Linked DNA regions of Schizosaccharomyces pombe. The protein of the gene in region 1 interacts with the protein of each later gene in a biochemical or structural test. Each region holds a gene or a part of one and is shown in the gene's direction. Other genes may lie near its edges.

The links.
Region 2: the proteins of spt20 (region 1) and spn2 form a complex in vitro, tested with the Schizosaccharomyces pombe proteins (one study listed by BioGRID).

What each region holds. Positions count from the first base shown.
Region 1 is NC_003424.3:5,368,646-5,373,905, reverse strand, and holds spt20 (SAGA complex subunit Spt20), read left to right. Parts: upstream 1-2,061; 5' UTR 2,062-2,135; coding exon 2,136-2,283; exon of another isoform or gene 2,284-2,365; coding exon 2,366-3,352; exon of another isoform or gene 3,353-3,439; coding exon 3,440-3,726; 3' UTR 3,727-3,932; intron 3,933-4,123; 3' UTR 4,124-4,178; intron 4,179-4,219; exon of another isoform or gene 4,220-4,266; intron 4,267-4,346; 3' UTR 4,347-4,506; downstream 4,507-5,260. Other genes in the region: protein new13, read left to right, coding at 270-494, 575-715; DSC E3 ubiquitin ligase complex subunit Dsc4, read right to left, coding at 702-1,403, 1,508-1,550, 1,605-1,705; translation initiation factor eIF2B gamma subunit tif223, read right to left, coding at 4,620-4,991, 5,063-5,205, 5,247-5,260.
Region 2 is NC_003424.3:988,231-992,536, forward strand, and holds spn2 (mitotic and meiotic (sporulation) septin Spn2), read left to right. Parts: upstream 1-1,974; 5' UTR 1,975-2,019; coding exon 2,020-2,059; exon of another isoform or gene 2,060-2,108; coding exon 2,109-2,183; exon of another isoform or gene 2,184-2,241; coding exon 2,242-2,370; exon of another isoform or gene 2,371-2,481; coding exon 2,482-2,563; exon of another isoform or gene 2,564-2,625; coding exon 2,626-3,295; 3' UTR 3,296-3,521; downstream 3,522-4,306. Other genes in the region: tif308 (translation initiation factor eIF3h (p40)), read left to right, coding at 167-192, 232-338, 518-1,458; DNA-binding transcription factor Moc3, read right to left, coding at 3,522-4,306. UniProt on the Schizosaccharomyces pombe protein: Plays a role in the cell cycle. Involved in a late stage of septum formation leading to the separation of the daughter cells. Involved in the correct orientation of forespore membrane extension during sporulation. Binds phosphatidylinositol 4-phosphate.

The sequences.
Region 1 (5,260 bases):
CTTGAATGCATTTACTGATTATACAATTGATGAGTACAACAATGGTTTTAAATCCGGTTCCAACAAAGTACACAGTACCAACAGCACTATGTGAAAAATGGTTTAAATAAGAAATGGCTATTCATTAACTAATCATGTACAAACAATGTAATCAAAAAGCTTTGCTAAAATTCGGCATAGAATTCTTTAAAATTGTTTACCGAGAATTTCCGTACGTAAAATGAAGTGAGTGACATGCAAAGTCATCAGCCAAAGCCAAATAATCAATTATGGGACAAGTACTATCAATATGTAGTTCCAAGTCAAAGGAAAAAAAAGTGGTGAATGAAAAACCAACTGTAAAACCAAAGCCTGCAGTGAACGTTCAAAAACCAGCAAAAGCCATTACGAAAGCTAGCTCACCTCCGCGTACGGGCAGAAAACTAGCGGAAACCGGTAATACATCAAATAAAGAGCATTTATCCCCCACAGAAGCAGCCCGAGTTGCAGCTGAGGTAATGAATCTGACAAAAATAAATGAAACCCAGATTTTACATTATTGAGAATCATTGAAGTAACTAACTATTTTTTTTAGAAGCGCAATATTGAGAAGAAAAAGGGAAATGGAAAACTCGGTAGGCAATTGGAAAAAGAGCGAGCAAAGCCAATGAAAGAGCATCTTCAAGACATTTCAACACAACGACAACAAGAAAGGGAACAAATCAAATGGGATTAGTTAAAACAGAGTTCGGTACACCTGTGGTGTTGGAAGATAAAGGCGAATTGTTAATAGAATTTGTATTCGCATTTTCAGTAGCATACTGAGACTTCCATACCAAGTCTTTCCAATCCTCCGAGTCAACCTCAATGCAAACAGGGGTAGAATAAGAATCTGCTGATTGCCTCTGGAGGGGAGTGTTTCTGTTTTGTGGAGAACCAAACGATAATCCGTGTTGAAAGGAGTATAATGAATGAGAAAATCGAGCAATCAACCTTGATCGTTCATTCTCTAATTGCCGTTGCAAGTCTTCTTGCCTTTGCCCTTGCTGTGTATCACGGGAATCCTCTGTTATGAGATCAGATGGTTCCTCGTCTCCGTCAACATTGGAAAGGCCCGACTGGGAAGCTTGAATATGAGATGCTTGAGTTGGGCGTTTGTTTGAAGCAATTAGAATAAGCGCCATGAATATTTGTAGACAGAAAAGTACAAGATCGGACGTTATAAAATCTATACGTGAAGATTCATTTTTTTCTCCAATGAAATTGATAATAGAGCCACCATACAAATATCCATCCAAGCTTTCTCCTGCAGTAGGCAAATTAAAGAACATACGCACCATTAAAGATATTAGAAAATTAAGCAGAAGCGGATAAAAAAGCGGTAGAGCGTTTAACTGAGAGAAAGGTTTGGGGGTAAGGTAGCTCTAGCAATTTATGTTAATACATGACTAGAAAAAAGCAAAATCATGAACATAGCATCTCTGGCTTTTGTATAATGAAAAATAAACTAAATACTGGAACAACTTACCAATTGAACAAAAACCTTGAGTAACAGCAAGAGAACTGTAGGGCTGACAAGAATTAGATTAGTGATTTCTACTATAGAATCCAGAAATTTTGCTTACTCTTGAAAATATTGTTGAGCTATAATTGCATAACACAGCATATCTAGCGATCGAAAAAAGCTGAACACTTCTCCCCGCTGATCTAAGACAATAGTGTCCATGCCTAATTTGTAGAAAAGTAACACAAAACAAGAATACTTTTGAGAGTATCAGAAATTACAGCTTTAAACAAAATCAATGAAAACTTTGTCAATTTCAAATATTTAGATATTAATTTGAGTCAAAAGTAAACGCAGAATGAATCATGCCAACAAGAACTTGCTGCGGTGGAGGAAAACGATAATGCCAGAACTGCTCAAGCTAGAGGCTATTTTGGATTAGGGCTTTGAAGCGCGTAAACTGCAAAACTATTAACGAAATCTTGAACTTCGATACCATTAATAACGCATCATTACATTTCGTTATGTGAGCAAACGCTTCTATCTATCTAACCTAGTAGGATTTGAAGAATTTAACCAGCTTATAATTTTAATTGTAAACATAGGGGGAATATTGTTTTACAATTACTGGTATAGTTCGTTGAACTAAGAGATGGAAAGAAATAATGGTTTGGGCGACTATACGTATCGCTATCATGGGAAGGAATTGAGTTTGGACGATTTTCAGAATAAACAAGGAATTGAATCCTCAGATGATGCATTTTTATCAAAAATTTATGAAAACGTTTCGAATTTTAATGGTAAGTAGTGTTGAGGAAGTTTTGCTTCTTTGGTTTTTTTGCGTATTTGATTTTATCGACTCTAACTGACATAATACTCAAGTTCCCAGAAAATTGCATGATATTGAACATAAATTTTCGAAAGAAGAGCCGAGTTTAATTCTTCATATTCATAAATTTCATTTTCGGTTTGAGCAACAAGATGGCGCCTTCACCTATAATGGGCCGGTAAAATCAATTTTGCAATATATAAGGATGGAGCTTATACCACCTGATTGTCTTGAAGTATTTCGGAATTCCGATGTAAAATTCTATGATGGTTGCTTAACGGTTCGTATAATAGATCATCGGCAAAGTCCTTCTGCTGATCAGACTGTGCAACCTCAGCCTGGCTCTACTAATCAACAGCAGCAAAATAACACCAACCCAATTAATAATCAACCTGAAGATACCAAACCCAATACTAATTCACCTCCAGTGTATCATACAGTTCTTCGTCCTACTCCCGAAACACTTTGGCAAGATTTATGTTTACTTTCAGAAAGCTTTGCTAACTCACTTTCGGATGAAGCTGTTTTGACTTTGGAATCCAACATTCTACTAGCGTCAGAAGCTCCACTTTTCTTAACTCCTGCGAAGTCTAAAGCGGAAATGATTCAATTTATGAACCAGTTGGCCGACTCTGCACCACCATGCACCAGAAAGAAACCTCAAGGATCAGCCCAACTTGCTGATGAAGAAGCAGAAAGACTTGAAAAAGAGAACCTTTTGTTACTAATGGATGACCAAAGAAAACGCGATTTTCAACCTACCTTTCAAAGACTACAATTTATTGAGAATGTGCGGCGTAAACGAGCTATTCTACAACAAAGGCAAATGCAAATGCAACAGCAACAAAAAGCGCAGCAGCAGCAATCACCGAAAGCTCAGCAACCACCCGCACATTTGGTTCAGTCTGCTCCAGTTCAAAGAAAAACTACACCCAAAATCCAACGTCTACCACCTAGTAGTATTCAAATTCCCCCTCCGAAACCTATGCAGAAATTCCCAGCTAATGCGGCATCTTCTGAATCGCCCCCCAATGCGACTGGTAAGTGTATTAAAGGCTTATTTCAGTACTTTTTGAGTTCAATTCAATTTTATTTTAATTTTGTATTTATTTTTCTAACAGCTTTAGGAAACTTTTTACCTTCGGGTCCTGTACCTGCAAATGAACCTATGTTAAAACGAGAATCCGTGGATTTGATAAAAATACGACAACTTGCAATTTTGTTTCAACAGCGTGCCTCTCAATTAAAAGCTAGAGGTGCTACACGGGAACAAATTACTGAAATTCTGAATCGTCAAGCAATAGCCGCTGGTACTGATTTGGCAACAGTAATGACGGTTGCACGAAATCTTCATTTTCAACAACTCCAAATGAGACAGCAGCAACAACAGCAGCAAATGAAGGCTGAAAGGTAACTCTCAAATGCTTCATCATTTAATACACGAATTTAGTTTTTTATTTATTATTTTTAAAATTTTATTTTTTTTGTTGCATAAATACGTTTTTTTACTTCACTTCATTTTCCTCTATAAAAACTTTTTTGCTCATGGAACAACTTGGCGTTTTCACTTACCAGTGTGAGATATGTAATGTAGCTGTTTCTAATAACACCCAGTTTTAGGTAAGTAAAATTAATATGTTATTTGGATATTTTTGTATGATGACTATAATTTGCGATTGAGCGATGGTATTGCTCGGGATCTTGCCTGATTCCCATATGGGCTCCATCAGTATGCGACAAATAATCTTCTGATTGATTTCCATTACATCAACTGCTTTTGTTAATACGAATACCTTGCTAACTGTTTTAAGTTTTAAATATTATAATAATGGAGTTAAAGAACGTCCTGTTTTTTATGAACGTTAGGTAAGGCAATTTAATTTTCAAAACAAATAACCGTTCTGCTTTGCAATTGATGAAATATTTGCTTATGATCAATAAATGATTCTTTTATTATCACCAAGATCGCTGAGTGCTAAAGTTTTTGGTTATTTTATTTGTTTTAAATATTTTCGAGTTATTACTAACCCATAGCGATATGAACTTTTTTAGATGTATATGTGTATAACCTTGTATATATGTATAACTTTTTTGCATATATATGTACATGCGTTTTCATCTGTAATTTATTCCCCTTCGCTTTTAGCTAATATTGATCTATGAGTATATATTTTTAATCTAAAAATTCCTGACTAATATCACCTTTACCTTGATTAGTTTAGACACACTTTGTAGAGTAAGTGCACGAAATTTTTATTATATCTATTTCAAAAAAAAGGTTGGCTGACAACGGTTTGATACACAGTATTAGTCCATGTCCGTCTCAATTTTTTCCATATCAACCAGCCGCTCACCCCGAGCGATACGGCCAGCTTCAACGCGATGATCAACGCCAATTTCGCATTCACGAAGTTTTGACTTAGCGCCTATTTGAGCACCTGAGGCGACTATGCAAGATTCTAAACGTACTCCGTCTTCAACAACAATGTTGTCCATCAAAATAGAGTTGCTGACCACTACCCCTTTTCCAATTACACAATTTTTACCGATAATGCTCTTTTTAATGTTGCTGTTATCCTTAATGGTGGTACCTTCATTCACCATACAATCGGCACCGACCAGTGCTCTTTCGGACACGGTGACATCTACAAGGCGTTGTTCTGGAGTAAGTTTGGCGATCTAGTTTGCTGTTAGAGATATTGGATGAAACTGCTAAAAAGCGAGATGAAGCTCAGCTTTCGAAAACATACGCATTTATTAAGTTCGAAATAGTTAGGTAAATTATTAGCCCTAGAACAAATAATCCCATCTTTGGCAATTAAAGCATTAATTTTAATTTCCTGTGAGGATAATCCCCCATCATAATTATCAATATTGTTAGGAGATGACAAAACTTTAATTGTTAGAAAATAGTTAATTAAAAAAAGCACTTACATCTTTGAATGTTC
Region 2 (4,306 bases), 4.4 Mb from region 1:
TAAAACTGGTAGGCTCCTCTATTCTATAACTTGTAATCGCCGACAGCCATGGCTTTAAAAAGTTGCTACTTGTTGTTACTTGTCATTAAACTGGTGAACACTAACTCCTTTAGAAGTTCGTACAGCAATTTGCACTTCAACCAACTACTTGGCAGACTTAAAAAACATGTCTGATACAACTTCATTGAATGTGTAAGAATGACTAAGATATATAAATAACTAATTCAGTAGTCCAGAATTGGAGTCTCCCCCTATTGAGCGGGTGGAATTAGAATCTTTACTTGTAATGAATATCATCAAGCACTGCCGTGATTCTTTTCCTAATATGGGAACAATTGGTAAGTGTAGTCATTGGAGAATAAGTTTTCCCTATTTTTCGAAATGATAAAACTTGCAATTTTTCTGCATCAAAGATGCAGCTATGCATTTGTCAGCTCAGTAATGCTCTACTTAGTGAAATTTCTTATCAACCACAGTTTCTCTCTTGAAATAATATTTTTAACTAACTTTCGTTCAGGTCAGCTTGTTGGTATTGACATTGATGGTGTTTTACAAGTCAGTAGCAGCTTCGAGTCTCCGTCTGTTCTTGAAAATGAAGAGTCTGCTGTTAACAAGTCTGTTTCCGGTAAAGCACGCCAAGCTCATACTGAGGCGATGCTTAATCGTCTTCAGTACATTGGTGCTGTTACTGGTCACGTTGGTTGGTATTTGGGAGCCTATGTTAGTTCATTCTTAAGTAGCCCCTTTTTTGTAGAAACGCAATATGCTTATCAAAAGGCAAACCCCAACAGTATCGCTTTTCTTTATGATTTGTCTCAATCTTCTAATGGAACTTTGTACATGCGTGCTTATCAGTTAACTCCAGAGTTTATGGCTGCCCATGAGGAAAAAACTTGGACCGCCTCCTCCCTCAATAGCCACAACTTGACTCCTTCCAATGTTATCCGTGAACTTCCTATTGTTATTCACAACTCTCATTTGGCTACCTGTTTGCTCCACTCTCTTAGTGAGCCTCCTACTCCAGCTTCTACCCTAACCGCCGAAGCTGCTCTTGAAGATTGTGAAAGCAACTTACCCTTGACTGAAACGTTCAGTAACTTTGAGGTTAGTTTGGGTACCAGATATAGAAAGAATATTGAGTTATTATTGGAGTCTACTGATGAGTTTCATTATGAGCAAGGAAATCTTGGATTTCATCAACGTCAACTCGCAAGAGAGCAAGCTAAAATTCAACAGTGGATTGCTAAGCGTAAGGCCGAAAATGCAAATCGTGCTGCCGAAAATTTACAACCTTTACCTTTAGACGATTGGAAGCGAATCTTCAAGCTCCCTGCGGAGCCTCGACTTCTTGACTCTCTATTGATTAGCTCTCAAATTATGAAGTCTACTCAAATAGATGAACAAAGTTCTGCTTTCTTGTCTAAGCTTGCCGGTGTACGAAACGCTTATGCTTCTTAAGCTACTGATTGGTAATAATCGCTTAAATTTAGCGCTAATTATTTGTGAATCTGGTTGAAAATTTTTAAGGACTTTGATCTCTGTGAAGCGGTTGCATGTATTTGTTTATAAAAAATGGAGCATTCTTCTTCACTCTCACTAGTTATACCTCGTAGCATTAAAATAAAAGGATCTACTTAATTATAAAAGTTGTTTTGGTTTTCTTGATACAGCATATTGGTTTGTTGAAATACAATGTGCAAAAATATACCATGATTGTAATTATAAGAAACAGTTTAATCTTCAATAGTGCATTCAGTTGCTGGTAATCTACTTGTTTATCGTATTCGAGTTTTAGGTTACATTGCTAATTTAATATATTTTCGGGCCCTTATACAACATCGAAACACTTTTCTATTAATAAAATATATTGTTAAATTTTGTTTTCTCTCTGTTAGATTATTTAAAAAAAAAATCGTAAATATTGCCGAGACCTTTTTGTTTGTTTTGACTTGCTTCACGTTACAATGTTGACTTGGCCAAAACCAACAAATTCCAAATTCATTCAATTCGCAACTTGCAATGGAAGTTCCTTCTGCAGTTACCCTAAATAATTATGTGGGTATGAAAACAAAAGAATGTTGATAAAGAGTCAAAACTAATGTTTATAGGGTTCGATTCTATCACTTCGCAAATTAACCGCAAGTTAATTCGTCGTGGTTTTCAATTTAATGTAATGGTGGTTGGTACGTATTATTTTTATTACAGATTTTCAATTATAATGATGTTAACAGTTTCAAATAGGACCGTCAGGTAGCGGAAAAAGCACTTTGATTAATACTTTATTCTCTGCGCACTTGATGGACAGTAAGGGTCGTCTGGATTACCAAGCTCCTTATCGCCAGACAACTGAAATCCATGTTACAAGCCAAGGTATGTTGATTTTTTTATAGTTAGGTTTTCATCTTTGATTGAACTCATTGAGCTGGCTTCAATGAGTCAGCAATCCTTATATTTATTATGGTTACATTGCTAACCACATAGTCGTTCGCGAGAACCGTGTTCAATTACAATTAAATTTAATCGACACTCCTGGATATGGAGATCAAATTAATAACGATAAATGGTAAGTTTGATCAGTGGAAATGGAAATTTCTATTCCTGCACAGCAATTTCTAACTATAATAGCTGGGAGCCTATAATTAAGTACATTAGGGACCAACACTCTTCCTATCTTCGTCGTGAATTAAATTCACATCGCGAGAAACGTCTACAAGACACAAGAGTACATTGTTGTTTATTCTTTATTCGCCCAACTGGACATTCTTTGCGCCCTATTGATATTGCTGTCCTCAAACGCTTAACAGAAGTCGTAAATGTTGTGCCTGTTATCGCTAAGTCTGATTCATTGACTCTTGAAGAAAGAGCAGCATTTAAGCAGCAAATCCGTGAAGAATTTGTTAAACACGACATCAATTTGTATCCTTATGATTCTGATGACGCCGATGAGGAGGAAATTAATCTAAATGCTGCCGTCCGAAATCTTATTCCTTTTGCCGTGGTCGGTTCCGAAAAAGCCATTATCGTAGATGGAAGGCCTATTCGTGGTCGTCAAAACAGATGGGGGGTTGTCAATGTGGATGATGAAAACCACTGCGAGTTTGTTTTTCTTCGTAACTTTTTGATGCGAACTCATCTTCAAGATTTAATTGAAACGACCTCATACTATCATTACGAGAAATTCCGCTTTAAGCAATTGAGCAGCTTAAAAGAACAGTCTTCCCTCGCAACTAGAATGGGAAGTCCCGCACCTGTGTACCCTTCTGAACCACATCTCCATACAGCCACCGCTCAATAGTCTTCTTCCTAAGGTAATATATAGTATGTTTAGAACAAAGACTAAACCATTTGTATGACTGTCGTACCGTAATTCGTAAATTTCGGCTCTTTTTACACTATGCGAATCTTACAAATGAAGTGTTTATCTTATTAACGAGAGATTATATGTTTGATGCGTGATTTTGTCTAGCTATTATACAGTTCTATATCAATATTTATTGAAAAGCATCAAAATGATTTTAAAATTAAAGTACTGGTCGATTTAAGACATTGCAATCCATAAAATGTTCTAGCATCAATCTTCCGAAATGAGATTCGATTTGTGCCCGAAGTTTAAATTCTTTAGAGTTTGATGCAAAAACATTTTGTAGAGATAATACGCATAAATAGGAAGTGCGTAATACTGCAATATCTGTGCATTCTTCTTGCATTAATTGCTGTAAGCCAGAAAGAACGTCATTATTGTTTTTGGTAACGGCATGTCCTACACAATCTATAACTTTAGTAAGAGGACTTCTTGATGCTGAATACAAGTGCACATGATATTCATCTCGCCAAGCAACCATTCGTTCTCGATGCAAATCATCAGACAAGGTTGGTTGAGAGAGAATGTCCAATCCAATAGTAAACAAAGAATCCGAAACAGGTGCATGACTTCGAGAAACAGAAACTTCCGATAAAGGCTTTCCATTAAACCCCCAGATACACCCACGAGGAAGAATTGCAAAAACTAGTTCACGAACGACCATAGCAATCAATAAGCTGACATAATTTGATTTGGTAGACGAAGACCAACTTAACTTTCTAATAAAATTATTACAAAAATTGAGATCATAGGCTGGGAGATTGAGCTGAGTGAGAGTCAAAAATGCAGAAACCAACAGGTATTCAAAAGAATTGGGACCAGGCATTGGACAGCGAAGAGCTCTGGTCAAATGACTGTAAGCACCAAAAACGTCGAGCTTCTTAATAGACGCAAAAGCCATTAAAGAATTAGCAATACAAGGCATCGATTGAGCAAACTGGGGAA